7 linked regions of the Xenopus tropicalis genome follow. The protein of the gene in region 1 interacts with the protein of each later gene in a pairwise test. Links are inferred from orthologs where the notes say so. Each region holds a gene or a part of one and is shown in the gene's direction. Other genes may lie near its edges.

Region 1 (4,000 bases):
CTTAGTTTTTACCTTTTTTTCTCCTTTAAAGGAATGGATGAACTAACTCACTAGAACAGTCCTGGCAAATTGAGCTTGTTCTACAGGGAGAGTGGTGCTTAGAGGGGGCATGGGCAGCCCACAGATACATGCACTGGCGCTATAACATAGGGGCAAGGGAGAGCAGCCGCTGGGCCTGGAGAATTCACTGCCAACATCACTTGTAAGCACCAATGGCACTTACACCACTAGCCATCTGGCATTCCTCACTGCCCCTTGTACTGGCATAACTCACTGCTTAGTGCCCACTTTACCCCCATTCTGTACTGAGCTCCATGCTGGATACCACTTGTCTATCACTGTGTGCCAAGGCTGGCACTGAATGCTGGGTAATGTGTGTGCATATCAGATATCAGGCACCACACGCAGTAGGGTTGCCACTGGCCCAGTCAGGGAAAATGATACTTCTCAGGTATTGTCATTAATACGGATTTAATATAGCAAAAGGTGGGGTTTTACCTGCACAAAATGTGGAGGTGCAACTGGCCAAGACAGGGCCATAAATGACTAGAAAGCCGGTAAGTAAACAGGGGTCTGTAACCCAGGGCCGCTGCTGGCCAAATGGGTGCCCTAAGCAGAAATTTACTTTTGTGCCCCCTCCCCCAAATATTATGGAAGTAAAAATAAAATAATAAAAAAAAACACCTACTATAGGGGCCCCACACCCAGTGCCCCCAATTGCCCCCATAGACAATGCCCCCATAGTAAGTGCCCCCAATTGCCCCCATAGATTGATAGAACTATCCAGGACAGCGGGATGCGCTATAAAAACTGGCGGGACAGTGTTGGGGGGGTATGTTATAATATATAAAAATGTTTTTTTTTTGGAGCAGCTGGGATGGTGCCCCCCTGGGAGTTGGTGCCCTATGCAGACTGAGTACTCTGCTTATAGGGAGCGGCGGCCTTGCTGTAACCTAAGGGAGCATACAAACATTAAGCCAGACTGCAAAGTTCACTCCTGCCGCAAAAGCTGATTTGTAGTAGGAAACTCGATTTTAAATATTAATTCAGCAATACGTAGCCGGCAGCCCTGCAGCTTTAAACGAAACTACAACTCCCAGAATGCTCCTGGTTATACTCCATTCAATAAGGCGAAAAAGAGTGTCGGACTAGCGACACCTAGCGGTGGAAACAAACACGGCGTTTGCTGTGCGGGAAAGTTGATTAAATTGTACATTTAGTAACCGCAGCTGAGGACTGGCAGGAAGAAAACAGCAGGTACATTTCACCCACATTCCACCCATTTTTCTCATTTGATCAAGTTTTTTGTCATATTTTCCCCCGTTCTTTCTAAAACCAAAGCCAGTGGAAGCCAATCAGAAGCGGGGGCTGGGTTAGGGGGCGCCAATCCGAGAACAGGAAGATGACAGTCTATTTCCGCGTCTGAAGCACTAGGTGAGTAATAGTAATGTTGTGTATCGTTGTTAGGGAGCTATGCCTGGGTGTATGGGTGGGAGAGAGAATCTGTGCAGCTCCATGCTGTGCATTTAGTATCCCTGTGAGTAAATATACGGTGGCTGATTGGGTTCAGCTCTATAATTACTGATTCCTGACTTCTGAGTCATTGTTTTGCCCATTTCCCAATAAGGGCTGGTTTGGCTTCACTCTTTGCCCAGCACTAAGCTTTGGTATTATGCACTGAGGGTTACACTGGCTCAGAGACCATCTAGCTCATGATATCAACCTACCTGCACCTTATAAGCCTACAGTCCACCCCTGCAGGGAAAGGTGCTGCCAGCCTTAGGGTGCATCTGTCCCTGCACCAATGGAGCTAACAATCTAAGGTCCCTATCACTTTTACACACACTAGGGTTAATTTTATCAGGAGCCAATGAACCTGTCTGTATGTATTTAAAGTGTGGAAGGAAATCGGAGTACCTGTAAGAAACCCACGCAGACAGGAGAGAACAGACTCCTTTCAGATGCTGCCTTCCTTCTAATGCCAATAGATATATTTGTTAGAAAGGCAAAAAGTTATTGCTGGAGTTGCCCCTTCACTCAGACCCCTATGAATTTCACTGAATAGCAGCATCAGGTATAATTCTAGCTGGTTTTGTTAGGGGAACCTGTGCCCTAAATGCTGTCAGTGTGCGTTAGTTGTGAGCAGGCCCAGAATCTGTGGGTTGGGGCAAATGCCAGAGGGGCTGCTGTAAGATGCCATAGACACTCACTATTTATTGGGTTGGTGGGGGGCTGTTTGGGCCTCTGTGTACTTGAAACGCCAGGGCCTATTTTGTGTCCCAGTCTGGGCCTGTTTGTGAGCAGTGCATCAATATTGCTTCACAATGTAGTTTTACTGAATGCATCTCAGTGATAAACCCCGGCTGCTGCCTTTATATCATCTCACTGCTCCTTGTCCTTTGCCCATGTCAGTTATGTCTTCTGCCCTGGAAGAGGAGCTCAGCATCATCCTGGAAGGTGGGGCTGTCCCTTTGCCTGAAACATATGACGTGGCTCCTGAAACCCCCCGACCTTTGAGACTGCGACACAACGTTTGCTACATCGTCATGGGAGTGTTACTGAATGAGCGGGTGAGCCAGTAAAGCTAAATCAAAGCTTGTAGACAGGCCCTTTAGCAGGGAAGATCTGTGCCCCCAAAGATGCCCCAGTAGCCCCCCATCTTCTTTTCTGCTGATTCCCTGCACATACTCTGTGCTGCTGGCACTTACCTGAGCTTAGGGACCCACTCACTATATACTGTATAAAGTTCATATTGGATTACCAATAAATTCAGATTCACATTACATAGTGGGATGGCGGTTTGCACCAAAAATGTTTCATATTCAGCCCTGTGGCTTCATCAGCGTTTCTGACAAATGTAACCTCATACCAATGATAACCACTAAGCTTTGCATCTCAACATCAGTCCAAAGCACACTGAGCATGTGCAGTGCCGCTGACACTCAACAGTAAAAAATCAGATCATGGGGCACTGCTTTGGACAATTCATAGGCCTGGATTGTTACTGTTATATGCTGTTCCTCTGGTCTGGTACAGTACATTCAGTATATAAAATACATTATTTTTACCTATTAATTTTTAGGCTTTAGTTATCCTTTAGAGATAGGATACTTTTACTTGTTTTCTCTTCAGTGGGAAAAGAATGCACAAGGAAAGGCCAGTAGGGGCCAGCCAAGTGTGCCAGGGACAATACAGGAATAAGGAACCTTAGGGCAGACTGTGCCCAAGTGAAGGATGGCAGGACTGTGGCCAGTTTTTTTTGTAGTAAGAGTAATGTTTTGCAGGATGAGGTGTTGATGATGCAGGAGGCAAAGCCTGAATGCAGAGGAACCTGGTACTTGCCTGCTGGGCGCTTAGAGAAGAGAGAAACTCTCATGGAAGGATTATGCCGAGAGGTAACTGAGGAGACCGGACTTACCTGTGAAGCGATCACCCTTCTGGCTGTGGAGGAGAGAGGAACTGCCTGGATCCGATTTGTATTCCTGGCCCGGCAGACAGGTATCTATAGAAGCCTAGAGTCAGGCTGGGGCTGGGCTTGTTTAGGCACCACGTTGCACACATAAAGCTTCTGGTCTGTTTGGATGCAGCATGTTCTTAACCTGTATTCTCCATTGTAGGTGGCTCTCTGAAGTCCGAGCTTTTAGCAGACTCCGAATCTCTGCAGGCCACGTGGTGGGATACTGTCTCCCCATTACCCTTGCGCTGCAGAGATATTCTACCCCACATCAAGCTGGCTTTGGCATACCGGCAACTCCCTTCACATCCCTCTGTCCTGCCTCAGGTGTTATCGTCGCCCCACTTGGCCTTGCGTCTCGTTCTTCTGTGCTTTGGCCCAGAGGGGCAGCTGTGGGTTCTACGGAGTGCCATCCATTCTCATTGCCTTCCTGTCATTCTTTGTTCCACAAGCAGAGCGAGCTTTCTCAACTCCTTGAGATGTCTGCTCAACGACCCGCCCAGGTCTTGTGGCATTCTGGGATTGCACCACCAAGGGGGCGAAGGG
Region 2 (4,296 bases), about 26 Mb from region 1:
AAAGCTAATCATCTGCAATAACATCTTTACAGCAGGCAAAATAGTGTAGCTTGAGCTTGCCCTGCTGGTCATGTTTTCTACAGCACCCTAACTACCACAGATACATTTTAACTTCAAATAGGGATTTGTTGTATATAGTTCTATTGCATTGCCTGTATTTCTTTCAAGGAATGCAAAGTGGATAGTTTAAGATTTGCATGTTAGTTGCATCTCGTGACCATTTTCTCTCGTCTCCAGCTCCACGTTCTGGCTTAGCTGCCAAGTATTTCATTGATGTTGGAGGTATGTATATTCACATTGCTTGTATTTTCAGGTTTTTTTTTTAAGGGCCTTTTTACTGCCAGAATTTATGCATTTAGTTTTCTAGTGGTATAAAACATGAGACAAGGCAAACACTCAGTTTTTGGATTTTTTTTGTTAAATAACCCTGAATAACTCCAGAAACTCATGTTTTCCATATCTGATTGCATAAATAAGGCCCTAACAGTTTCTAGAATTGTTTTGCATTCCTCTTGTTGGGGAAAAAATAAATTGTATGCCTGCAGTGTTTGCAGTCTTTATGTCCTATTGCTATAGAGACAATGTGCCCTTTCTTCAGAATAAATTACCTTGCCAGTAAAACATTATTCGCTGAGAAGATTCTCACATTTAATTTCTCTTCACCTGATTTCTCTATAACGGAGAATACAAGTGAACTTTATTTAATGTGTCATTTTTAACCTAATATGTATACTACAGATTTTATAAAGAATAGTCAAGTATATTTATATCCTACTGTAATTACCCCACTGCTGTAAATCCAATTTGTTTTTTTACAAATGCTGTCCTGTATGTATATCCTTATTAATGCAGTTTGTTTTTTTTTTTTTTTTTGTATTATGTAAACCTCTCCTTACATGAAGCCGGGGTCATTGATGAGGACTACAGAGGGAATGTTGGTGTTGTGTTATTTAATTTTGGGAAGGAAGCTTTTGAAGGTATGTAGAATTAATGGAAATGACCTGCATATTTTAAAGCCGATTGACTGGTGATCATTCTACACAAAACCAAATAACAACTGGTTAGATCATTGATCAGTTTGGCAATGTATGCGGTGAAAAAATAGTTTATTAAAGATCTGCATTTAATAACAGAGACATATTAAACCTCTGAGTACTGGTAAGCAAGTAATTTAAATGCTGAGATTTACGTGAGTATTACACACTCTAACTTCCTCTCACACATTGTCTTGCATACACCCTAAGGGGTTGTTTGCTTATGCAGTTTAAGCAAACAGACAGTTTACTGCAGTATTTTCGGTGGGTGTATATTATGGGTTTTGGTCAGTTAAATGCCCATAAAGGGCCACATTGTCCTGTAAAGGCATAAAATTGATTTGCATGGCATTAAAGGTTAAATAGGACAAACTACTAGTTTTTTTTTTAAAAAAAAAAAAAATATTCATCTTTTATAATGTAAATTAAGTGGATGATGCTTTATTAAACAAACATTCCCAAATATACAGAAACTGAGGCAAGAATTTTGTTTAAATTGGAAACACATTGAGATCCCTCCTCGCAATATTCTTCCTGACATCTTGCAGTAAAAATCTACCTTGCCATAAAAATCAGCTTTTCACAATGACTCTAATGGTTACTTGCTACACAGGTAGTTATGAAAGAGCTTTGTAGACTGTACTTGTTGCTTTGTATTCTGTGCCTGCTACCCCTTGCTTTTCCCTAATCTTTCCTTCACGTGAGAGTTGTAGACAACATTACACTTATTAAAGATAGTCAGATGAGCTGTTTCTAAATGAAAACTAAAAGCTTTTCTATGTTTGTTACCATGTATTAAACCCAACCCAAAAAGTGCAGATTAGGTTCAGCTGAACATGAAAAGTCATGAAATCTTAACATTATTGATAACTCTGTCCTTTGCTAACCCGAAGAAAGAAATCATAAGCCAAAAGTAGATTATGATGTTACTTTATTGTCTCTGCCTTCTCCTTGCATAACTTGGATGAGAAGAGTTTCCACTATAAAAGCCTGCTGAATTTATCCACTTGTTGCTTTCAAAGATGGTTAATTTTAGTTTGCTGAAATTCACACAAATTAGGCAGCCCCTTTAAAGGAGAAGGAAAGGGTAATACCTTTAGACAACTGAAGGCATACCTTCAGTTGTCTCAATAGTACCCTTAAGTCTCCCCATATTTCACCTGTTCAGATGATCAAAAGTCAAACAGGAAGAAAAAATGCTGAGCCGAGTAAAGAAAGTTCCCATAATGCCTCGCTTCTGCACAGACACCCAGACCAAGTGAACATGCTCAGTTAGTATGACTATGATTCAGCTTCCTGCTGATTGGCTCAGACCCACATCCCTAAGGGGGGGACGGAGTGAGTCTTAGCATTCTTGAGGGAGGGGGGAGCAGGAGAGAGGCATCAGAGAGCTTGCGTGTCTCTAGCACATGAATTACAGACACAAGAAATCTTTTTAGAGAACTCAGTGCAGCATTTCTGTGAGTGCTTATGGCTGTATTTACATAGACCTTTCTGATAAAGCTTACTTAGTTTTTACCTTTCCTTCTCTTTTAATGAAACTTTAAATGGAGAGCTGTCCCAGATCATTTATTAATGCAGGTTCTGCTAAGTAAACTAGCAGTAACAAATGTAAACTGTTCTGTTTCCCCAATCGTACTGTGGTTTATATCTTTATTACTCTCTCTAAGACTTGCTGATATTGCTAAAATCAGTCAAAATCACAGAAGATTGCCTGCCTGTTTAATGGTGTATAAATTAATTCGTTATTTATCATGTGGTGTTTCATCTTTATGTAATGTTTTTCTGTAGTAGGAAAAAACTCTGGTATAATTTGGATTTTATGTTGCCTTTTTTTTTTTTTTTTAGTGAAAAAAGGTGATAGAGTGGCACAGTTGATATGTGAGAGAATACTATACCCTGAACTTGAAGAAGTCCAAGTAAGCTATTTTTTTTTTCTGTCCTGTATGTATCTCTGTATTAGTTGAACAGGTAAAGCATCTGTTATCCAGAAGATTCAGGAATACATAATCATATTTAAAGTGATACACCAAAAAAATTATTTTAAAAATATATAAACCTACTTCCAAACCTACTTATAGGTCATGTTGACTGTTTTTTCCTAAAAGTCCTGTTTTTCTACATAAATTCTACTGAAGATCCTGAACCCGGCTGCCTGGCAACCCGACTGTAGCTTTTCAATCTGTCAAAAGGACTATGTCATGAACTTAATAAGACTGCATTAACTAAGTCAACCTATCTTATTGGGGTTTTTTTTTTAATGTTTAAATGTTTTAAAGCATGGTGGAAGGATGCCTTTGATTCCCATACCTGTACTGTATTAAAACTGTGCCCCATTGTAGTGTTTTATTTCACAATTTCATTTTATTTTTTATTTTAGGCTTTAGATGATACAGAACGTGGTGCTGGTGGCTTTGGCTCTACTGGTCAGAATTAAATTAATTCATTAACTTGCATTTATTGTGGGTTTTTTTGTTTGTATAATGCACTGTTTAGTTGTTGTCCTTTAAGGTGCTATTTAATAAAACCATGCTGTAGTTTTGTCTGCTTTCTCTATGCAGTCACTGTTTATTAATACAGGCTTAAGTCTACAAATGTATATGAAATGAATTTCTAAATCATTAGTCCTTTTTATGACTCTCTTTTTATTGTAAGATACCCACTTCCTGTCTGGGTGGTTGAAAAGATATTAAAAATGCATTGTAAACGTACATATTCATCTACACAACAAAAGAAACAATAAAACATTTGGAAAAAAAACTCTGCAAAATTGCTTCTGAATGGTTTTAGATTAAATAATTTTAAGGTGAGGAATGTAGCAGTTCTGCCACTTTTATATGATTATGGTTATTATTAACATTCTTGGACACGAGGGGCCAGTTGCTATTACAAATACAGTGACCAAAGTGCAACTTCGAGCACAATTGCCAAGTTTTTTTTTCCCAACTTCGTTGCAGTTAAAGTAAAAGTAATTGCCTTTACACTTCTTTGCAATCAGATGCAGTTGTACCAATGTCCATTTGATGGCATTTCCAGTGTTCTTGTGCAAGTGACGTGTGCATCCTATTCTTTGGGTGCATAGACACAGGGCACTTAGGAAGCCCTAAAGTTACTGCATGGTTGGTAGGTGGGAGCTCCGGGGTTCCTTGGCCTCAGTAGGTACAAGTGCACTCAGTTTGGAATGGGAGGCAAGCATAGAAGGACTGAGCGGTGCAGAATGCAACTGTATGGAAGTGCAAGGAGCACAGTTTGACATAAGTAC
Region 3 (3,947 bases), on another chromosome or scaffold:
CAGGTTTGGTTATAATGATTCCCTTTTCTCTGTAATAATAAAACAGTACCTGTACTTGATCCCAATTAAGATATAATTACCCCTTATTGGGGGCAGAACAGCCCTATTGGGTTTATTTAATGGTTAAATGATTCCCTTTTCTCTGTAATAATAAAACAGTACCTGTACTTGATCCCAACTAAGATATAATTACCCCTTATTGGGGGCAGAACAGCCCTATTGGGTTTATTTAATGGTTAAATGATTCCCTTTTCTCTGTAATAATAAAACAGTACCTGTACTTGATCCCAACTAAGATATAATTACCCCTTATTGGGGGCAGAACAGCCCTATTGGGTTTATTTAATGGTTAAATGATTCCCTTTTCTCTGTAATAATAAAACAGTACCTGTATTTGATCCCAACTAAGATATAATTACCCCTTATTGGGGGCAGAACAGCCCTATTGGGTTTATTTAATGGTTAAATGATTCCCTTTTCTCTGTAATAATAAAACAGTACCTGTACTTGATCCCAACGAAGATATAATTACCCCTTATTGGGGGCAGAACAGTCCTATTGGGTTTATTTCATGTTTAAATGATTTTTATTAGGTTTAAGGTATGGAGATCCAAATTACAAAAAGACCCTTTATTTGGAAAACCTCAGGTGTGAAGCATTCTGGATAACAGGTCCCATACCTGTACTTTAGTGGATAAGGACAATGGCATGCCAAGATGATTTACCAAGCAACTTTTGCTTTGAGTGCTTTATAATGGCAAAAAATAGGAAAATTTTTATTTTTGTTAATTAAAACAATAGAATGTAATTTTAGCATAAGTCCTATTTGATGTGCTAATATTTAGCAAATATGTTTTTAGGGATATACTGTCCCTTTAATTCAATATCTCAAATGTAAAATATTCCCTGTTCCTGTATCCAACCATTCGGGTACATTCATTATATAGTAATAAATGCTTTATTAGCCTGTCTTTGCTTGTTAATCGATTAGCAGGTAATTCTCAGGCTGCACAGATACACACCCTGCCGGAGCAGATTTCTTCCTCTCCATACAAAACAATGGGATTCCACATAACTCTTAACACTGGCTTCTCAGGACTACGCCCCCCATAATTCCCTGGGCCTGGAGCTCAGCCAACTTATTTCCTGTTAGATCAGCTGCTCAGAGCGTGACTGAAGTTCTGCTCCCTGCAGCTCTGGGCACTGCTACTGGGTTCCTCGCAGGAGAAGCACCATGGCTGCCAGTGGGGCAGAGCTGAGTCTGCGGTACCGTGACAGGGTGGCAGTCATAACGGGGGGCACCAAGGGCATCGGAGAAGCAATGGTCAAGGAGTTTGGTAAGGATTCAGTTTGCTGCTAAAGTTTATAACTAAATCCCAATGTATCTGCCTTTTATTTATTATTGTGTATATGGGCAGTGGCATAAAGCAGCCCTGGGCACTGGGGTACCTGCATTCTTCTACTAGGGATGCCCCCAATCCTCTTTTTAGGGTCTGGCTGAACCCCGAATCCTTTGCAAAAGATTCAGCCGAATACCAAGCAAAGTAAAGGTTAAAGAGAAACTTCCATATTTACGTGACAAAACGTCATGGATTCAGATTTGGTTTGGCCAAAGGCATGGATTCGCCCAAATCCTGCTGAAAAAGACTAAATCTTGGCCGAATCCTGGATTTGGTGCATCCCTATTTAGCGCCAGTACCACACTTTTCTACTGGTTTAGTGCAGCGCCTCAATGCATTTATAACTAGAGTGGAGCCAAATGAGTAAGGCAATGGTTCTGAATCCAGTGCTCAAAGCTCAAAAATGGGTCTCTGTGCTTATAGGGGATTGTTACCATGACCCCTTCACATAAAGTGGCACTTTGCCACTTTACAACTGAGGTTTATGAAGAATTGTGGATAATGTATTTATATATACTGTATATATATATATATATATATATATATATATATATATATATATATATATATATATATATATATATATATGCTATGAACTGGCATTCAACAAATGCCCAATGTCCAAGTGGAACTAAAGTGCTAAGAAGCCAATGCAGCACAATTATAGTGATACTAAAAATGGATTGTGTTGAGAATCATTAAGGATTTCCACCAACTTTGTGGATGTGCCCATTGTTGCTCTAAAAGGATATGGAGCTAGCCTTAATTTCAGTATTTCAGCCAAGATGGTTTAACCCTGTCTCCTGTATTTATAACTAAGTCTATGATTAGTCTTGTTGGATGAAGCTTGCTGTTGCTGTCATCCTAGCGCTATAGGCCAATTAAAAACGAATCTAAAAATTAGAATCCAGATGTTGTTGTATTGATGCATTTTCAGCCAATATCCACAACTGAGTTCTGCCCTATGGAGTTTTATTACTACTTTTCTGTTAGATTTTGAGGGTCGGCAGGTTAATCACACCAACAAAGCTTGAGGTGGGAAGCAAGGGTAATGGCCCTCAACCCTGCACATTGTAGGGCCAGAGCAGCAGCTGTAGGTAAAAAGAACGGGGAGCAGAAGGAAGAGATGCAGACAGTTGCACTTTATATTAGCATTGCCCAATATATGCCCCTTGGGCTCTTTTCGAGGTATAACTGGCACCCACCTTATTGGGACTTATAATTCAATGACAGTCAAACAGTCACTATTGTATACATAGTGGGGCCCAGCAACATCTGTACATTGCCCTGGATGTGTTATTTGTTTGGCTTGACTTGGCAGAAGGACAAGTTACACATACATTTTGTTTGGTTGGGTTGTTCTGTTCAGCTCAAAGTCCAGAGGGCAGGATTTCTCCTGTTATTACTGTGGGGATGGGTTGTGTAGGCTCGACCCCCTCTCTGGCGCTCTGTCGTGTAGAATGTACTATACCCTTTATAATGACCCACGCAATACGGAGGTTATCAGCTTGCTTTGGGCTTTTCATATCTTCTTTACTTCGTTGACTATGGGGCTCATTCATCCAGACCCCCTAGTCTTTGGGAAGTAACTAAGTACCCACTATAGGGGGGGCATTACTGCTAGGTGTGGGTAATAAGGGACAGGTGACTGATTATTCTTTCTAGGAAATAGAAGAAAAGCTTTCTGGTTCGTCACACCAAGCCTGTTCTAATTGCAGTGCAAAGAAAGAGGGAGTCATAGTTTCTAGGTGCTAGAAGGACACAATTTGGGCCTCTCCTACCCTAAGGCTCCTGATCTCAGGCTAAACCAGTCGCCAAACATTGCAGCGTGCATCCACATGGCACTAATAGCAGCTTTAGGCCAGTGATCCCCAACCAGTGGCTCGGGGGCAACATGTTGCTGCCCAACCCCTTGGATGTTGCTCTCAGTGCCCCCAAACCAGGGAGTTATTTTTGAATTCCTGACTTGGGGGCAAGTTTTGGTTGAATAAAAACAAGATTTCCTACCAAATAAAGCCCCTGTAAGCTGATAGTGTGCATAGAGGCTGCCTAATAGCCAATCTTAGCCATTATTTGGCTCCTCCATGAACTTTTATGGTGCCTGTGTTGCTCTCCAAGTCTTTTTACATTTGACTGTGGCTCACGGGAAAGAAAGGTTGTGGGCCCTGCTTTAGGAGAAGTCCCCACTGTGGAGACAAAAGGCTCTCTCAAGCCCAAAATCCAATCCTGCTGCATGTATGTGTTACTATGGATCCTCAGTGTGTTACAATACAGCAGCAGCCATTTACCATAGATACTGCATGTATGTGCCTGTAGCACTGACTCTTTTCTCTCTTTTGTGCCCCTTCTGTTCGTATCTGCAGTAAAGAGTGGCGCCAGGGTGGTCTTCTGCTCGAAAGGTAAGGAACTCTTCATAGGAATCTCCCACGTCTTGGGGAAATGTGTCTTTTTCACACACACACACACACACACCAGACCAGTCTCCTATATCCCTGCCCCCCCTCAGCGAGCAACTGCTGGGTCTGCTTTCTCTGCTCCTACACCCTA
Region 4 (4,099 bases), about 4.4 Mb from region 1:
TGGACTTATATATATATGTACATATAAAATGAAAGAGGCTGCACTCTGACCAGCTCAATTTAATATATATATATATATATATATATACACACAGGAAAGAACAGAGCACACCCTAATGGTAATCAAATGCCCCGGGTGCTTGCACAAAACATGTATACATCAAGACAGTGAGCCGCACACACAGGGACTTAGCGATAGAAGTGGTCAGGGCAACTGACCACAAAGTCCCTATGTGTGCGGTACTCTGTCTATATATATATATATATATATATATATATATATATATATATATATATATCTATTATATGTTTCCTATGTTACTTGTACACAGAGATTATAAGAGAATTGGATTAAACATTCTACCTTCAACTAGGATAGTGATGTAGCAGTGAAATGTAAGCCCTCCGTGTTTAAAAGAAAGGGGGGGAATGTTATCGTTATTTTGCAACCCCTAAGTAAAGAAGGATGGCAGGAGACCACTTCAACAGCTCCATGGTCAGGGGAATGGGACTCCAGGAATGAGGATTGGCTAGGGGAGACTTAGGAGCCCAAGGCAGTGAGGCTATCAAGCAAGCAGCTTTGGCTCCACCAAGATATGTAAGTTGGGTTCCCATTGGGCCTAAAGTACCTCAGCCCAACACTGCAGGGGAATTGAATAAAAGATCCAAAGGTTGCCCAGGTCCAGTAACCCATAGTAACCAATTAAAACGTTTGCTTGTAAACAGCTGACCTGACCATTCTCAAATGCTTCCAGCTGATCAGTTGCTATGCGTTACTAGACCTGCAGCATGCATAGCATTATATTACACACCCCCCCCCGCCATCTAGCGTTAGCATAGAGGTTATAGTTACAGCTCTAGGAGGACCACTGCAACCCACAAATTAAACGTAATAAAACGTAAAGGGATAATACAGCCGTGGAGGTCTGACTATTATTTGTAACAAGGGAGGATGCATTTATATCTAAATATGTGCGCACAGCAGCACCAAGGCTACCAAAGAGCGCAGCTGCCGCTCAAACCCTACGCCTCAGCCACTGGATATCATTTCCTGATCTACCCCCGCCCATTTAATTGAGCCACGCCCAGCTGTCATTTCTTTGCCTAATGATTGGCTGCTTCCCCTCCGTAGCTTCGCTTTGATTGGGTCAATTCCGTCGTCGGCTTGCCAAACCGAGCGTAACCTTATCCTCCAGTCGCTACAGGGAAGTTTGCCTTAGCCCCGCCCTCCTGACGCCGGCTCGGCTTCTCATTGGTCATACAATAAGGCTGGCGTGCTGCTATTGGCTTTTGCCCTGCCCTTACGCGCGAAAGAGGGCGGGGCTGAAATGCCTGCGTGAGAGTGTCTGCTTTCGCCTCTGTTCCGTTCCTGTGAAGCCCCGGGGAGGGAGGAGTCAGTGTGGCAGCGCCGGGGGCCTGAGGTGAGATATACGGTGCAAGGTTTGCGTCTGTCAAGCGCTTCGTGTGCGGCGGCGTGACGTCACTCAGGCGTCCCTGGTACAGGTGTCAGCGGGCACAGCTTTCTGTCAGGGCGTCATTCTGCCTCATAGGGGCACTGTGCCCTGGGGGAGTGGGTGCTTGGATACATATAGGGTGGCTATGCAGGGCATTTGTACTATATATATATATTTGTGTGTGTGATACATATAGTATATATATATATATATATATATATATATATATATATATATATATGTATGTATGTGTGTGGTGTATATATAATATGTATGTATGTGTGTGTGTGTGGTGTATATATAATATGTATGTATGTGTGTGTGTGTGGTGTATATATAGTATATATGTATGTGTGTGTGTGGTGTATATATAGTATATATATATATATATGTGAGTGTATGTGGTCTATATATATATATATATATATATATATATGTTACACGTATATATATGTATATAATCATTTTTCTGTTACCCTTTGTGTTCCTTTCAGTGCAAATGATACACAAGCTCTATGGATCCCTGTTTGTATCCATGTCCCATTCATCACACAGTCAATGGGTCCCCTTTTTCCTGTTACCGTAGCGATATGCCCCTTCAGCTGCTGAGAGGGTTACGGGAAAATGTGTGACCCCCCCCCTTCCCCTCCCCAACGATGAGGTGTCCCAACCCCACCCTTTGAAAGGAAATCACCCAGTTTGTAGGTTCCAAAATGGAAACTGCAGAACTGACAGTGACTTCCTATTGGGACATAGTAACATAGTAAGTTGGGTTGAAAAAAGACATATGTCCATCACGTTCAGCCATAATGCCTCTATATAACCTGCCTAACTACTAGTTGATCCAGAGGAAGGCAAAAAACCCCATCTGAAGCCTCTCTAATTTGCCACAGAGGGGAAAAAATTCCTTCCAAGATGGCAATCGGACCAGTCCCTGGATCAAAAACGTGTTTGAGACACTTGGGGGGGCGGCAGGACTGTGGTGCCTAACACTTATTTCAGGGTGTGCCCCCATTCCCAATGGTAGTTCAGCAGGGTGCCGCCGGCCATTCTTAGTTTGCTTAGTAAATAGAGAAGAATTCAGCTGGCACGACTTCCGTTACAGCAGTGCACCCGTGGCAGTGCCAACTATCGGGCTCCTGGCACACTGTAAAACACCCATAAGTGCACCCTTTATGCCCTGTACCAAGCTGTGCTCAAAGGTGCTGCTGTGCCAGCAGTGAGTATCTGAAGGAAAATGCTGGGAGGCACGAAGCTGACCATTTTTGAAGACACACAGAGCTACTAGTAGCAGCTACTTGTCATGGTTATAGAAACAGACAATGCTGATCATTTACTGATAATTGTCTCTACGTGTGTTGTAGCAGAAGCAATTCTCAGTATTGTCTATGGCAGGGTATTTTTTGTAGTTTAGTAGCAATGAAAAAGTAGCTGCTACTAGTAGCCCAGTGTGTTTTCACCCTAAAGCATTGGTTCTCAACTTTCCTAATGCCACAACCCTTTAATACAGTTCCTCATGTTGTGGTGACCCCCCAACCATAAAATTATTCCTAAATATGTGTTTTCCGATGGTCTTAGGCGACGCCTGTGAAATGGTCGTTGGACCCCCAAAGGGGTCCCGACCCACAGGTTGAGAACCACTGCCCTAAGGCCTTGCGGTGGGTACAACAAACACCCTGGTTTTACTGAGCCCCGGTGACTGCACAGAGCTCACAGCACGCTGACATTTTAATCAAATACAGTTCTTTCTGAATGAGTGCTTTAGCTGTGAATAGGAACTCTGTTGTTTCTGCCTCGGCACAGCAGTGGCCCCCATCCATTCATGCCCAGTTTCCTGCCGCATCCTTCACCCTGTACCAGTCAGTGATCTACAGTGATCTACCAGTCAGTGTGCCGCTTTAGTACATATCTATTGCTGAACAGCCACAGGTTAAAGGTTCCTACTCTGTGCTCATCCCATCTTCCTATTTCCCACCATTCTTTTTATTTCTGCCTTTCCTTTATTTCCCATATACTTTTAATATTCCCCAAAGAGCCATAACTTTTACAACCCAATGTGCCCAGATCAGGGGTAAAATCTCAGGCACTAATAGTCCTTGCAGCCGGTATAATAGACAGGTCCCAGAAATTTTGAGCATTCAAACCTGCTGACACAGGGTGAAGGGGTTTATAGTAGAGAATATCTATATCTATAGCACTGGGAAGCATTTACTACATTTGGGGCGTTTTCCCAAAATATTGAATACCCAAGTAATAAACACATAGGGGTTTACCGCCACTTGCATATGTTTTGTTGAGCCCCTATCATATTCTCTGCTAGTTGGTGCCAACCCTCCACTCTTGCACATTGAGCATTTATATATTGAAGAGGCTAGGGTGTGCTGAGGTCCATTTAAATTTTGTAAATTAGAAACCACTAAAGGGCTGCAATTTAGGAATATCAGTGTAACCATGGACAAGCAAACCTATGGTCAGTCAGTTGTAAACAAGACCCCAAATCCTATATCTTGCTTGTAGCACGTACCAATATGGGGTATATATAATATGTGGAAGGGACTGAAATTCCTCTGTTCTACATGTGAACACACAGAGCAGTTCTGTGCCTCATTAAAGGGGTTGTACACCTTTAAATTAACTTTTTTTATG
Region 5 (4,093 bases), on another chromosome or scaffold:
TTTTGGAGGGACGTCCAGTTCTTGGTAATATCACTGTTGTGCCATATTTTCTCCACTTGATGATGACTGTCTTCACTCCATGGTATATCTAATGCCTTGGAAATTCTTTTGTACCCTTCTCCTTACTGATATCTTTCAACAATGAGATCTCTCTGATGCTTTGGAAGCTCTCTGTGGACCATGGCTTTTGCTGTGGGATGTGACTAAAAAATGTCAGGAAAGACCAACTAGAGCAGCTGAACTTTATTAATCAGAGGCACTTTAAATGATGGCAGGTGTATGCTGACTCCTATTTAACATGATTTTGAATGTGATTGCTTAATTCTGAACACAGCTGTGGTGTGCACACTTATGCAACCACATTATTTTAGTTTTTTTGGTTTTCTTCCCTCCACCTAAAACATTTCAGTTTGTTTTTCAATTGAGTGGTACAGTTTATAGGTCACAGGTGGAAAAAGTTCTGAAATTGTTTATCTTTGTCTCATTTTTGTACAGCACAGGAACCTGACATTTTACCAGGGGTGTGTAGACTTTTTATATCCACTGTAGTTGCTCTGGAAGACAAGCCACAGTAAATGCTGTAACAAAATCCCAGCAAATTGTTTGGTCTTTTGCTTCTCATCTGAGGCACTCATCAGGGACGTTGTCAGTGTTTCCCATCTGTATACAGACATAAATACCTAGAAACATTTTTACAAAAACACATGTTCAGACTGACACAACCATTTGACAACAGTAAAAGTTTTTGTTAAAATTTGAACCTAATTTATTTTTCATTTTTCAAAATAATCACAATGACCTGGAGGAGGGCATAGAAAGTACTGCTGCTATTTTTGCTGATGATACTAAATTGTGCAAATGTGCTGATGATAATAAATTGTGTAAAATGTTGCCACTTTGCAGAGCGATTTGATTAAATTGGAAAATGGAAAATAAGGTTCAATATTGACAAGTGCAAAGTTATACGCTTTGGTAGAAATAATATAAATGCAAGTTATACATTAATGATAAAAAACATAGTCAAGCTGATGCTTGATGTAAGTTGATTTATTTTACTTAATTAATTAATTACTAATTAATAAAATTGCTATACAATGCTGAAAACCTAACCATAACATGCTTCAAATGTGGGACACGTCTTTGAAAACAGGAAAAATCAACTTTCACAACAAACACAATATTACACATTAGCTGTGGCTCTGTTGTAACAATTGCCTCATATTTATGTTGACAGTCATTGCATCTGTATTACTGTAAAAGTGTAGCTGGCTGACTCAAGAGCAATTACACACACAACAAGTAATGTTCAAGGTAAGGTCTGTGCTATATTTTCTGCATTTTAATAGCTAAAATCTGAATAACTTATAGGATTCAGATATGATCCAAGAACACTCACAGTTATAGCTTTTTTATATTTGTACGTTTTGCAGCAATTAATCTCCACATTAAAACTGGCACTGGATTTGATAAAGTGTGAGCATTTTTTTGGTAGTTACAAGTAGTTACTTTTTTGCAAGTATATATTGATATTATCAGTCTGTTGAGCTTCTGAACTCATGATTAACCAAGCAGTTGCAGGTTCTGTTTCCCTTGTTAAACCCTGTGGGATCTCTCCATCTAAGCGACCCAATGCTTTTAGGGACAGGAACATATTTAGGGGTAGGTGAGTTGATGATTTAAGAAAAATGTATTGCAATTCCAACAAATATTTAACTATTGTTTTCATCTTATTTTATTGTTCCTTTCCGAGCTTGTCTGAAACTGTCAGTGACAAACAAGATAACATCCTGTTCACTTTACTGACAGTCAATAAGAAGGTTTGGATGTGTGTGTGACCTGCTGTAATGCACATACCAGTACTGAGATATATTCAGCATAGAGAAGCAGGGATGGTAGGGGCAATATCATTTGGTGTTTGATTTACAGTTTACACTGAGCAGCCAAATCTGGCTGTAGCTATGTGCATGGATGGAAACAGGTATTGGCTTGTATACACAGCTTGTGCCACAGTGTGGTTTAAGCCTGGTGCAGTGAGCCGTAGTGTACAAAGTTTCACTGACCTTACTGGGGCTTATAAATAAGTAACTAGTATTTTAGGAAAATTATACAAATTTAAAAATAAGGCACAATTCATGTTATTAAATTTATTGAGGAATGTCACACATCACAAGTGACATACATGACATGTGCAGCCATAAAGAGAATAGCGCTGCACGTCAGGCCATTGTGATACAAACATCTAGCAGTGCCACCTTCTCTGGAGATAAATAATAACATTGCCATTAATCAACAGTTATCCCAACTGAGCAGTTAAATAGCTGCCAGCCTGCCAGTAGGCAACCCTCAGGCCCAGACTGGCAATCTGTTTCGATTCTGGCAAACGCGGAAAGGCTACTGTTAGATGCCATAGAAAGTCAATATAATGGGCTGATGGGGGGCTGTTTGGGCCTTTGTGGATGTAATATGCCACAACCTATTCTGAATCTCAGTCCAGATCAGGCAACCCTACAAACATTAAATCTAATGACTGCTCAATATTTACATCACACACATTTATGTACATGTAGATACAACCCTAAGCCCTGTATATATATATATCATTTTTTTAAACCACCACAACCGCTATACTCTGTGGCTCATAAGCAAGTTCTTTTCAGTTAAAGGAGGGACCATTCCTTTATTGTTTTGCAAGTACTTTTTATTATAAATCAGTCATCTGTGATGGAGAATTCTACGCACAAGCTCATCTGTAGAATTTGTGTTAAAGTTTCACTACTCAATGTGTTGCTTATACTACATTTTCTACAGTCACCCAAAACTGGAAACAGTTCATTGTGTGCTAAGCCTGTATCATCTAGGGACCCCCAAGCCCTTACACCCTTTTAAGCCTCTTTTAAATTTTGCTGGCACTTCCTTTCTCCCATTCACGCCGCATCAGGACATGTCAGCAACTTGGGTTACTCGGGTTTTTGACATGCCGCGATGTCACAGCCATGTGACCAAGATGTGGGCGGGAGAGTGTGACGTCAGGAGCCAGTCTGTGTAGCGCCAATCAGATCAGACGGACCGCCCCGCGTCACAGCGCCACGTGACACCAAGGAAATGGAGCTAGTTTTCCCCATCCAAAGAAGTGAGCAAGAGGTCTGAATGTAGACTTGTGGTGGCGCAGGGTTTAAATGTCAGAAAGGTGCAGCAAGAGGTGAGGGCAAAATGGCGAGGGCATCAAGGGGACCGTTCGGCAGTTTTGGGGCCAGTGATATAAAAAGTACCCAGCAGTTGGAGGAGCACACTGTCATTTGTATAGGGCTCCTGTCAGTGTCATATGTACAGGACTGCAGGAGTTCATGTATGAGGAATGGAATGTGATTTGTATATGACTGCTGGTGAGGTACTGTGTGATATGTTCATGGCTATGTGATGTACCGTGCTGACTGGCACAGCAAGGGTGATGTGTATAGGGGTGTTGGAGGAGGACTGTATGATCTCTACATGGGTGCTGGAGGAGGGCAATGTAATCTATACAGGGGTGCAGGAGGAGGGCAATATGATCTATACAGGGGTGCAGGAGGAGGGCAATATGATCTATACAGGGGTGCTGGAGGAGGTCAATATGATCTGTACAGGGGTGTTGGAAGAGGCCAATATTATCTATACAGGGGTGTTGGATGAGGGCAATATGATCTATACAGGGGTGCTGAAGGAGGGTAATATGAACTATACAGAAATACTTGGGGATGGCATGTGAACTATACAGGGGTGCTGGAGGAGGGCAATATGATCTATACAGGGGTGCTGGAGGAGGGCAATATGATCTATACAGGGGTGCTGGAGGAAGAGGGCGATGTGATCTATACAGGGGTGCTGGAGGAAGAGGGCGATGTGATCTATACAGGGGTGCTGGAGGAGGAGGGCAATATGATCTATACAGGGGTGTTGGAAGAGGGCAATATGATCTATACAGGGGTGTTTGATGAGGGCAATATGATCTATACAGGGGTGCTGGAGGAGGAGGGCGATGTGATCTATACAGGGGTGCCGGAGGAGGAGGGCGATGTGATTTATACAGGGGTGCCGGAGGAGGAGGGCGATGTGA
Region 6 (3,500 bases), on another chromosome or scaffold:
GAGTAAGGCCATAAAGCAGATGTATCTGGAACTGCCACAGGGAGATAAGGTGCAGGCTATGTACATCTGGGTTGATGGGACCGGGGAGGGTCTTCGCTGCAAGACTCGCACTCTGGACAGTGAACCCAAGACCATAGAAGGTGGGACTTTCCCCTTCTACAGCCAAGAAATCAAGTCTTGTTTTTCTCTCTTTCCTTCTTAAAAACACAACACAATCTACTTGCAAATAATTATATGTATCACCCATACAGCAGACTAGTTAAACCTTAAGGATGCAGGCTGTTTTCAAGACCAGAAATGAGTAGTAACTAATTGCATCCAGTTATATGGGTTTAGGCCCTAAGGCCTTGCTGTCTGCAAGTGTTCTGTTATACACTCTTTTACACTTTTATACCAATCTACCTATTGTTCTTCATGTAGGACTATAAATCTAGTGCATCCCATAAGCAAGGAAAATATATGAATTACATATTATACTGAGGTGTGTTTAACACTATAGCCTCAGTAACATCCAGTCGCTTGACATTTTGCCAAACACTGCCATTAGATGTTTTTACCCCACTGAAACACACTAAAAGACAAAAAACTCTGTCAAATCTGCCTGGAAATACAATCAAATAGTTTTATATCTATCCTATTTTACACTTCCTGAAAGACAGAACTGAAAATTCAGTAGGTTCTTTGCCTGCAGTTAAACAGGTCAAGGTTTTGCCTTCCCTACAATATGGCTCTAACCTTGTACAGATCTTCCTGAATGGAACTTCGATGGATCTAGCACATACCAATCCGAGGGTTCCAACAGTGACATGTACCTGATTCCAGTTGCAATGTTTAGAGACCCTTTTCGAAGGGACCCCAACAAGCTGGTACTCTGCGAGGTGCTCAAATACAACCGAAAAACAGCTGGTAAGAATATTTTTTTTTTTTTACTTTTCCAGTGTGAATTGTCACTTGCCAAACTAGTAGTGCTGCACCTCATCCTTGCCTTTCAGTACTTGTTGAGCATCATATTTCTGCAGATACTGTACATTATATATATATATATATATATATGTACTCAAATACTCAAGCACTAATTCAGTGAATAACGTTAATAGTATATATGCCCATGTGACTTTTTTTAGAACACGGATTCCATACTAGCTTAATTCCTGATTAATTACCATTAAAAGACAACTACTTGCTCCTAGTATTAGGATTATATATCTTAATGATGGTGGGTTTAGCCTTCCCATCATTTCCAATAAGGCCTGTTTCTGCCTTTCATACAGTCTACCGTGCATTTTATTTTCCAGACATTAGCCAATAATTAGCTCCATTGGGCAATACTTTGTTTGAATGATGTTTTAATAAAGCCTTTACTTCTTTCTATTTATAGAAACAAACTTGCGTCATACATGTAACCAGATAATGGACATGATGGCCAATGAGCATCCATGGTTTGGCATGGAACAGGAATACACATTGCTGGGTATGGATGGACACCCTTTTGGCTGGCCTTCAAATGGCTTCCCAGGACCACAAGGTATGGGTAGATTCAACAAGGATTTAGAAAAACTGTAATGTCTTTGACAGTGAAAAATTACTAGTTACCTCCTTACATATTTTGTGATTCTTATTGGCTTGTTGAGTATTTACAGTTATGTGACAGCCCAAACCAATATAGAGTCAGTACTTTTACAGTAATGTCTCATGGAGAGATTAGACGCCTGCAATAGATCTCTGCTACCGCAGGCGACTAATCTCTTCGAAATGCCTTTCCAGCAGCAACACAGGGATTCGCAGGTGGAAAGGCCTATGCGTCACTTCGGTTTTCTGAATTTGCACAAAGTTGCCTGCAGGAGGAAACTTTGCACAATTTCAGAAGACTAAATAACATCCTTGTTATGTCACAACACAGTAGCCTAAAGTTCTGGTTACTTGACAATAGTGTGCATGATAAGAACATGTTTATGGTTACAGCTTACCTCATCTTATCTTATCAGAGACTTCTGGAATCCTATATGTATGTATGTATGTATGTATGTATATCTTTATTTATAAAGCGCTACTTATGTACGCTTTATATGTACATTAATACAAACGGGATTATTAAGATAATAATAGATAAATACAAAGTACAACAATAAATACAGATAGATACAAGATAAATACAGTTGCAATAAGTTAAGAGTCAAAGACACAAGAGGATGGAGGTCCCTGCCCCGTAGAGCTTCATATCTATATGGGAGGGTAACTAACAGACACAAATAGGAAAATGCAGTATAAGTGCTGTAGGTCACAGAGGGTGACACTATAATATAAGTGCTGATTCCCAGAACAGGTGCTGGGTGAATGCCCCAAAAGGTAGTCTTTAAGTTTAGTTTTAAAAAGACTGGGGGAGGATTCTCTCCGGAGGAAATCAGAGAGGGTATTCCAAATGTAAGGGGCAGAAAGGTTTAAGGCGGGAAACAGCAGCAGTAGTAGTGGGGGGCACAACCAATTGATTGCTCTGCGAGGAACGAAGGAGTCGGCCAGGAACGTACGGAGACACAAGAGAAGAGATGTAGTGAGGAGCAGAGGAATGGAGGGCTTTGAAGGTTAAGAGAAGGAGTAAGTGAAGGAGATAAAATGAAGTATGTTTCTAAAAATCAATACTGCTGTATAATTGTGTTAATGTATAAAATATTAAGTGTAGGAGATGTAAAGAGATAATTATATTTTTATGTTTTACAAATATTCTGTTTCTCTTCAGGTCCCTATTACTGTGGAGTGGGTGCAGATAAGGCATATGGTCGGGATATTGTGGAGGCTCATTATCGGGCTTGCCTTTATGCTGGTGTGAAAATTGCAGGAACAAATGCAGAAGTTATGCCAGCACAGGTAAGACATGGAAGTGCTGGGAAAAGATCTGTTTTGGTTTCTAGTATCTGTGATTTTCTGATTTTCCTTTGGGGATGCACTGAATCCAGGTTTCGGTTCAGGATTTTGCCAAGATTCTGCCTTTTTCAGCAGGATTCCGATTCGGGCGACTCCATAGTCTTGGCCGAACCAAATCCTTAAAATCACATAAACACGGAAGTTGAAAATTTTACCACCGCATGCACAACACGTGGTTCTTCTTAACCCCTTGAGCTGGCCATACACGTGGCGATCCGACGATGTTTCGTACAACCATCGGTCGCACGAAACATCGTCAGATCCGCCACACACCATTCAGGGCTGAATCGGCAGGTAAGGAGGTAGAAACAATAGGATTTCTACCTCCTTCTGCCGATTCAGCTCTGAAGGGAGAATTTTGGTCAGGCGCCTTCTATGGCGCCCGATCAAAATTTTCTAACCTGGCCGATCGACGAGCCGACCAATTTCAGCAGCTTCCTGCGACATCGGTCGGCTCGCTGACATACCATACACGCACCGATTATCGTACGAAACGAGGTTTCATACGATAATATCGGTGCGTGTATGGCCACCTTTGGTCGCTTAATTTACATATGCAAATTCGGAGTCAGTTCGGTATT
Region 7 (4,024 bases), on another chromosome or scaffold:
TCAGGGGCAACTGGGGAACCCCCATGGGGCAACCTCAGGGGCAACCTCACTGGCAACCGGGGAACCCCCATGGGGCAACCTCACTGGCAACCGGGGAACCCCCATGGGGCAACCTCACTGGCAACCGGGGAACCCCCATGGGGCAACCTCACTGGCAACCGGGGAACCCCCATGGGGCAACCTCACTGGCAACCGGGAACCCCATGGGGCAACCTCACTGGCAACTGGGGAACCCCATGGGGCAACCTCACTGGCAACCGGGGAACCCCATGGGGCAACCTCACTGGCAACCGGGGAACCCCCATGGGGCAACCTCACTGGCAACCGGGAACCCCATGGGGCAACCTCACTGGCAACTGGGGAACCCCCATGGGGCAACCTCACTGGCAACTGGGGAACCCCCATGGGGCAACCTCACTGGCAACTGGGGAACCCCCATGGGGCAACCTCACTGGCAACTGGGGAACCCCCATGGGGCAACCTCACTGGCAACTGGGGAACCCCCATGGGGCAACCTCACTGGCAACTGGGGAACCCCCATGGGGCAACCTCACTGGCAACTGGGGAACCCCCATGGGTGAGTGTTTGGGGCAATGGCAGCTACAATAAGCAGCTAGAGATACAAAGGAGCAAGCAAAGCCCCCCCCCCCGGCCCTACTTACCCCTGAGGATCCCGGCTGTGTGTAGGGCCCTCACTCTGCATTCTCCGTTACGACTCCGGAGCCCCCCGACAAATGACCTAATAAACCCCTGACAGCCAAGTCTCAAGGAGGCGGCCATATTGCGGCACCTCCTGGAACCAAGGACCCCCCCGACCTGGGCTGCCTTGTAACCCGCCTGATACAAATAATAAAAAAAAAGCTGCCAGAAATCCTATCGACCAACCCCACAAGCAGCGTTACAAAAGCACCGTTTCCGCTCTGTGAATAGAAATGTCACAGCGCTGCGCTGGGGTCCTAGGGAAACCGGCTGCCCGGTCACCGCCTTATTTAGGATCAGGACCCTGGGATAGCCGTCCATCATACTGCCTGACAGAAAATCACGAATAATATCCTCGGCGGTGCCGCGTAACACTACTGTAACTTTGTGGGAGTAACGCGACGTTATTAGCGTAAAAATTGCGCGTTCGAAAAAAGAACGGAGCTCTATATCTAGCGGAACGGTGAGGACCCCGGTAGGGCTGCCCGTAATTGTGCCTGTCTGATTGCTCTATAGGCAGTGTATGCATTGCACAGTAACACCCCCAGCCCTACACACTGAAGCACATCCCGGGGCTGCCCTGCCTGACAGACATGTATTACTGCAATAGAGACAACTGCAATCAAACAGACAATGCCAAGGTAATGCATGGGCTAATGGCAGGGAGAGGGGCAGCACACAGGGGCAGGTAGGAGTAGTAATACTGAATGCTGCTCCATAAAAGACAATGTAATTCTAAGCAACTTTCCTATAAACATATTTATTGCCCATTTTCACTGGTTTTAAAGTTATTTCTCTACGTAATTGCTACTAAAGGCAGCCTCTGTCTGTTTTATCTTTCCTGCACTGCTGGTTCTGACTGCTGAAACACCTTCGCAGAAACCAGCTAAATAACTGTGGTGCTACATTGTCAGAACCAGAGAACAGAAAGGGGACAAATACTGCTTTCAATAGCAAGTACATTTACACATTTAAAAAAAAATTGACATTTTTAATTACTTCAAATGCAGAAAATTAATTTGGCAGTGATTAATAGAGGAGTTTCTATAAGCAGACAGCGACTAACCCTACATACCAGCTATAGACATTTGCACCAGTTCCACTGATCCATAGGAGTCAGTAGGGTGCACTTGGGTGGCCTTTAGGTTAAAGGGGATATAAACCCTGCTGCACTTCTCAACCAAACTTTATTCAGTTGTTGCTGGACTACAAATCCCAGAATAATGTAACATATAATAAAGGTAGAGGCATGCTGGGAGCTGTAGTCCAGCAACATCAGGGGTTGTATTCTTAAAGGAGACATATCCTATAAAAATTATGAATGTACCAGTGTATTATACTCCTCTAGATATAGAAGGATTGTGCTTAAAAAAGTTGTGACTGATTTATTGAGAAATTCCACAAAAACCCCACTAGTCCCGGCCATCTGTTCCACTTCCTGCTGGCTGAATTTTCTGGATGAGCTGGGGAGCCGGCGGCCCTCCATACACTGCACTGTAGGATAGGAACCAATCAGCAGCTAGGCTAACCTGATAGGGAACTGAAGCCTGTCTGTGCTTGTGTGAGTGCAGGGCTGTGATTGGCTCTCCCCCTCCTACTGTACTTCTGGCAGGGACCGTTAGGACACACCCACCCCTCATTTCACACTGGACGGAGAAGTGATAGGATCTATAGGGAGCTCCAATAAAGGGGCCATTTTTACAGATGGGATTCATTTTTAGCCCAAAGTGAAACCAGCACCGTATATTATTAATAATTGCCTACAAAATAAGCATTTTTCCCAATTATGCAATATGTCTCCTTTAAAGCAATATTGCACAATAAAACATTTCCTAAACTTTCCCCTATATCTTCACCTGCCCCTAACCCGCCCCTTCTCCACCCGTACCCAACCCGGCCTACAGTTTTGCATCTATTTATAGACCCGAGCCTGCCCCACCTGTGACATCACTGAGGGGGGCAGACACGTGCCTATAAAGAGACGCAGCCAGACCCAGAAGTAGGGCTCAGTTAGGATGCGGGTGGGGAGGGAAGAAGAAGAAAGACTGGACCCGCAACCTTTATTTTGATGTTGCGTTGTCACTACTTCAAAGCAAGCGTCTTCTTTAAAATGCAAAAAAATCTCCCAATGAGAATCCCAGCTGATCTGTATAAATCCGGCTCCATGTTCTCTGTTCCTGCAATTGGAGTTGGGAGCATTAAACCCAGTTTCCCAGCACTGAACAAGTCTGCCCTTATCCCCATGTCTGATTCCTGTGCCATATAATGAGGGGAAAATGCCATCATTATCTCTATATATATTTATATTTTTCACATTTTAAAGCAGTCGCTGGCTGCGAAGATTTGGGAAAAAGTTTAGGAAAAATATTATTGTGCAATATTGCTTTAAAGGAAAACTATACCACCAAACAATATAGGTCTCTATAAAATATATTGCATAAATAGCTCATATGTAAAACCCTGCTTCATCTGAAATAAACCATTTTCATTAAAAATATACTAATTTAGTAGTATGTGCCATTGGGTAATCCTAAATAGGAAACTGCCATTTTAAGTACTAAGGGCCGCCCCTGGGATCACAGGAGTCACAGTGCATACAAACAAGCCAAGGCACACATACATGCTAGGTCTCATCAGCCAATGAATGGGCAGAGTTCTGCCTGCTTTGATTTGTAGTCCAGCAACACCTGAGTAAAGTTTGGTTGAGCAGCGCTGTGCAACAGGGTTTACATCCCCTTTAATGTCTGTTGGAACAGGGGCTATAGGTTACAGTGCAGTGAGGGGGCTACAAGGTTACAAAGTGAAAGGATGTGGTGAGAACATACCAAATGGGTCTTGGGTGTTGGGAGAGGCAAGAGCTACATGGAGGGGCCATAGAAATCAGAATTTAAGCTTTAGATGTATTTTTGGGGGGGAAGATAAACCAATACCTAACAATAAAGTACCCTTTATGGCTAGCACTGGCACAGGGTATTATGCAGAAGCTATATTTATATACAGGTATGGGACCTGTTATCCAGAATGCTCGGGACATGAGCTTTTCTGGATAAGCGATCTTTCTGTAATTTGGATCTCTATAACTTAAGTCTGTCAAAAAACATTTAAATATTGAATAAAACCAATAGGATTGTTTTGCCTCCAATCAAGATTAATTATATCTTAGTTGGGACCAAGTACAGGTACTGTTTTATTATTACAGAGAAAAGGGAATCATTTAACCATTAAATAAACCCAATAGGGCTGTTCTGCCCCAATAAGGGGTAATTATATCTTAGTTGGGATCAAGTACAGGTACTGTTTTATTATTACAGAGAAAAGGGAATCA

The links.
Region 2: the proteins of nudt18 (region 1) and dut interact in binary tests that used the Homo sapiens proteins (3 or more experiments, as listed by UniProt). The two-hybrid records come from large-scale screens. The link is inferred for Xenopus tropicalis from reciprocal best matches to the Homo sapiens genes NUDT18 and DUT.
Region 3: the proteins of nudt18 (region 1) and hsd17b14 interact in binary tests that used the Homo sapiens proteins (3 or more experiments, as listed by UniProt). The two-hybrid records come from large-scale screens. The link is inferred for Xenopus tropicalis from reciprocal best matches to the Homo sapiens genes NUDT18 and HSD17B14.
Region 4: the proteins of nudt18 (region 1) and evi5l interact in binary tests that used the Homo sapiens proteins (3 or more experiments, as listed by UniProt). The two-hybrid records come from large-scale screens. The link is inferred for Xenopus tropicalis from reciprocal best matches to the Homo sapiens genes NUDT18 and EVI5L.
Region 5: the proteins of nudt18 (region 1) and nadk interact in a two-hybrid assay, tested with the Homo sapiens proteins (2 studies listed by BioGRID and IntAct). The two-hybrid records come from large-scale screens. The link is inferred for Xenopus tropicalis from reciprocal best matches to the Homo sapiens genes NUDT18 and NADK.
Region 6: the proteins of nudt18 (region 1) and glutamine synthetase interact in a two-hybrid assay, tested with the Homo sapiens proteins (2 studies listed by BioGRID and IntAct). The two-hybrid records come from large-scale screens. The link is inferred for Xenopus tropicalis from reciprocal best matches to the Homo sapiens genes NUDT18 and GLUL.
Region 7: the proteins of nudt18 (region 1) and apip interact in binary tests that used the Homo sapiens proteins (3 or more experiments, as listed by UniProt). The two-hybrid records come from large-scale screens. The link is inferred for Xenopus tropicalis from reciprocal best matches to the Homo sapiens genes NUDT18 and APIP.

The regions. Positions count from the first base shown.
Region 1 is NC_030679.2:129,564,568-129,568,567, reverse strand, and holds the start of nudt18 (8-oxo-dGDP phosphatase NUDT18), read left to right. Parts: upstream 1-1,200; 5' UTR 1,201-1,434; intron 1,435-1,447; exon of another isoform or gene 1,448-1,537; intron 1,538-2,412; 5' UTR 2,413-2,414; coding exon 2,415-2,570; intron 2,571-3,284; coding exon 3,285-3,498; intron 3,499-3,617; coding exon 3,618-4,000. UniProt on the Homo sapiens protein: Mediates the hydrolysis of oxidized nucleoside diphosphate derivatives. Hydrolyzes 8-oxo-7,8-dihydroguanine (8-oxo-Gua)-containing deoxyribo- and ribonucleoside diphosphates to the monophosphates. Hydrolyzes 8-oxo-dGDP and 8-oxo-GDP with the same efficiencies.
Region 2 is NC_030679.2:103,767,502-103,771,797, forward strand, and holds the end of dut (deoxyuridine 5'-triphosphate nucleotidohydrolase, mitochondrial), read left to right. Parts: intron 1-237; coding exon 238-282; intron 283-902; coding exon 903-977; intron 978-2,882; coding exon 2,883-2,953; intron 2,954-3,414; coding exon 3,415-3,471; 3' UTR 3,472-3,796; downstream 3,797-4,296. UniProt on the Homo sapiens protein: Catalyzes the cleavage of 2'-deoxyuridine 5'-triphosphate (dUTP) into 2'-deoxyuridine 5'-monophosphate (dUMP) and inorganic pyrophosphate and through its action efficiently prevents uracil misincorporation into DNA and at the same time provides dUMP, the substrate for de novo thymidylate biosynthesis.
Region 3 is NC_030683.2:114,406,471-114,410,417, reverse strand, and holds the start of hsd17b14 (17-beta-hydroxysteroid dehydrogenase 14), read left to right. Parts: upstream 1-1,147; 5' UTR 1,148-1,234; coding exon 1,235-1,337; intron 1,338-3,763; coding exon 3,764-3,799; intron 3,800-3,947. UniProt on the Homo sapiens protein: Catalyzes the NAD(+)-dependent oxidation of L-fucose, yielding L-fucono-1,5-lactone, which rapidly converts spontaneously to L-fucone-1,4-lactone. Can also act on D-arabinose and L-galactose, with lower catalytic efficiency. Does not use NADPH.
Region 4 is NC_030679.2:134,010,146-134,014,244, forward strand, and holds the start of evi5l (EVI5-like protein), read left to right. Parts: upstream 1-1,299; 5' UTR 1,300-1,420; intron 1,421-4,099. UniProt on the Homo sapiens protein: Functions as a GTPase-activating protein (GAP) with a broad specificity.
Region 5 is NC_030683.2:91,985,716-91,989,808, forward strand, and holds the start of nadk (NAD kinase), read left to right. Parts: upstream 1-1,293; 5' UTR 1,294-1,311; intron 1,312-3,069; exon of another isoform or gene 3,070-3,199; intron 3,200-3,295; exon of another isoform or gene 3,296-3,388; intron 3,389-4,093.
Region 6 is NC_030680.2:100,277,500-100,280,999, forward strand, and holds part of glutamine synthetase, read left to right. Parts: coding exon 1-140; intron 141-744; coding exon 745-906; intron 907-1,378; coding exon 1,379-1,525; intron 1,526-2,734; coding exon 2,735-2,862; intron 2,863-3,500. UniProt on the Homo sapiens protein: Glutamine synthetase that catalyzes the ATP-dependent conversion of glutamate and ammonia to glutamine.
Region 7 is NC_030680.2:11,183,871-11,187,894, forward strand, and holds the start of apip (methylthioribulose-1-phosphate dehydratase), read left to right. Parts: upstream 1-1,224; 5' UTR 1,225-1,292; coding exon 1,293-1,340; intron 1,341-4,024. Other genes in the region: pdhx (pyruvate dehydrogenase protein X component, mitochondrial), read right to left, coding at 663-780. UniProt on the Homo sapiens protein: Catalyzes the dehydration of methylthioribulose-1-phosphate (MTRu-1-P) into 2,3-diketo-5-methylthiopentyl-1-phosphate (DK-MTP-1-P).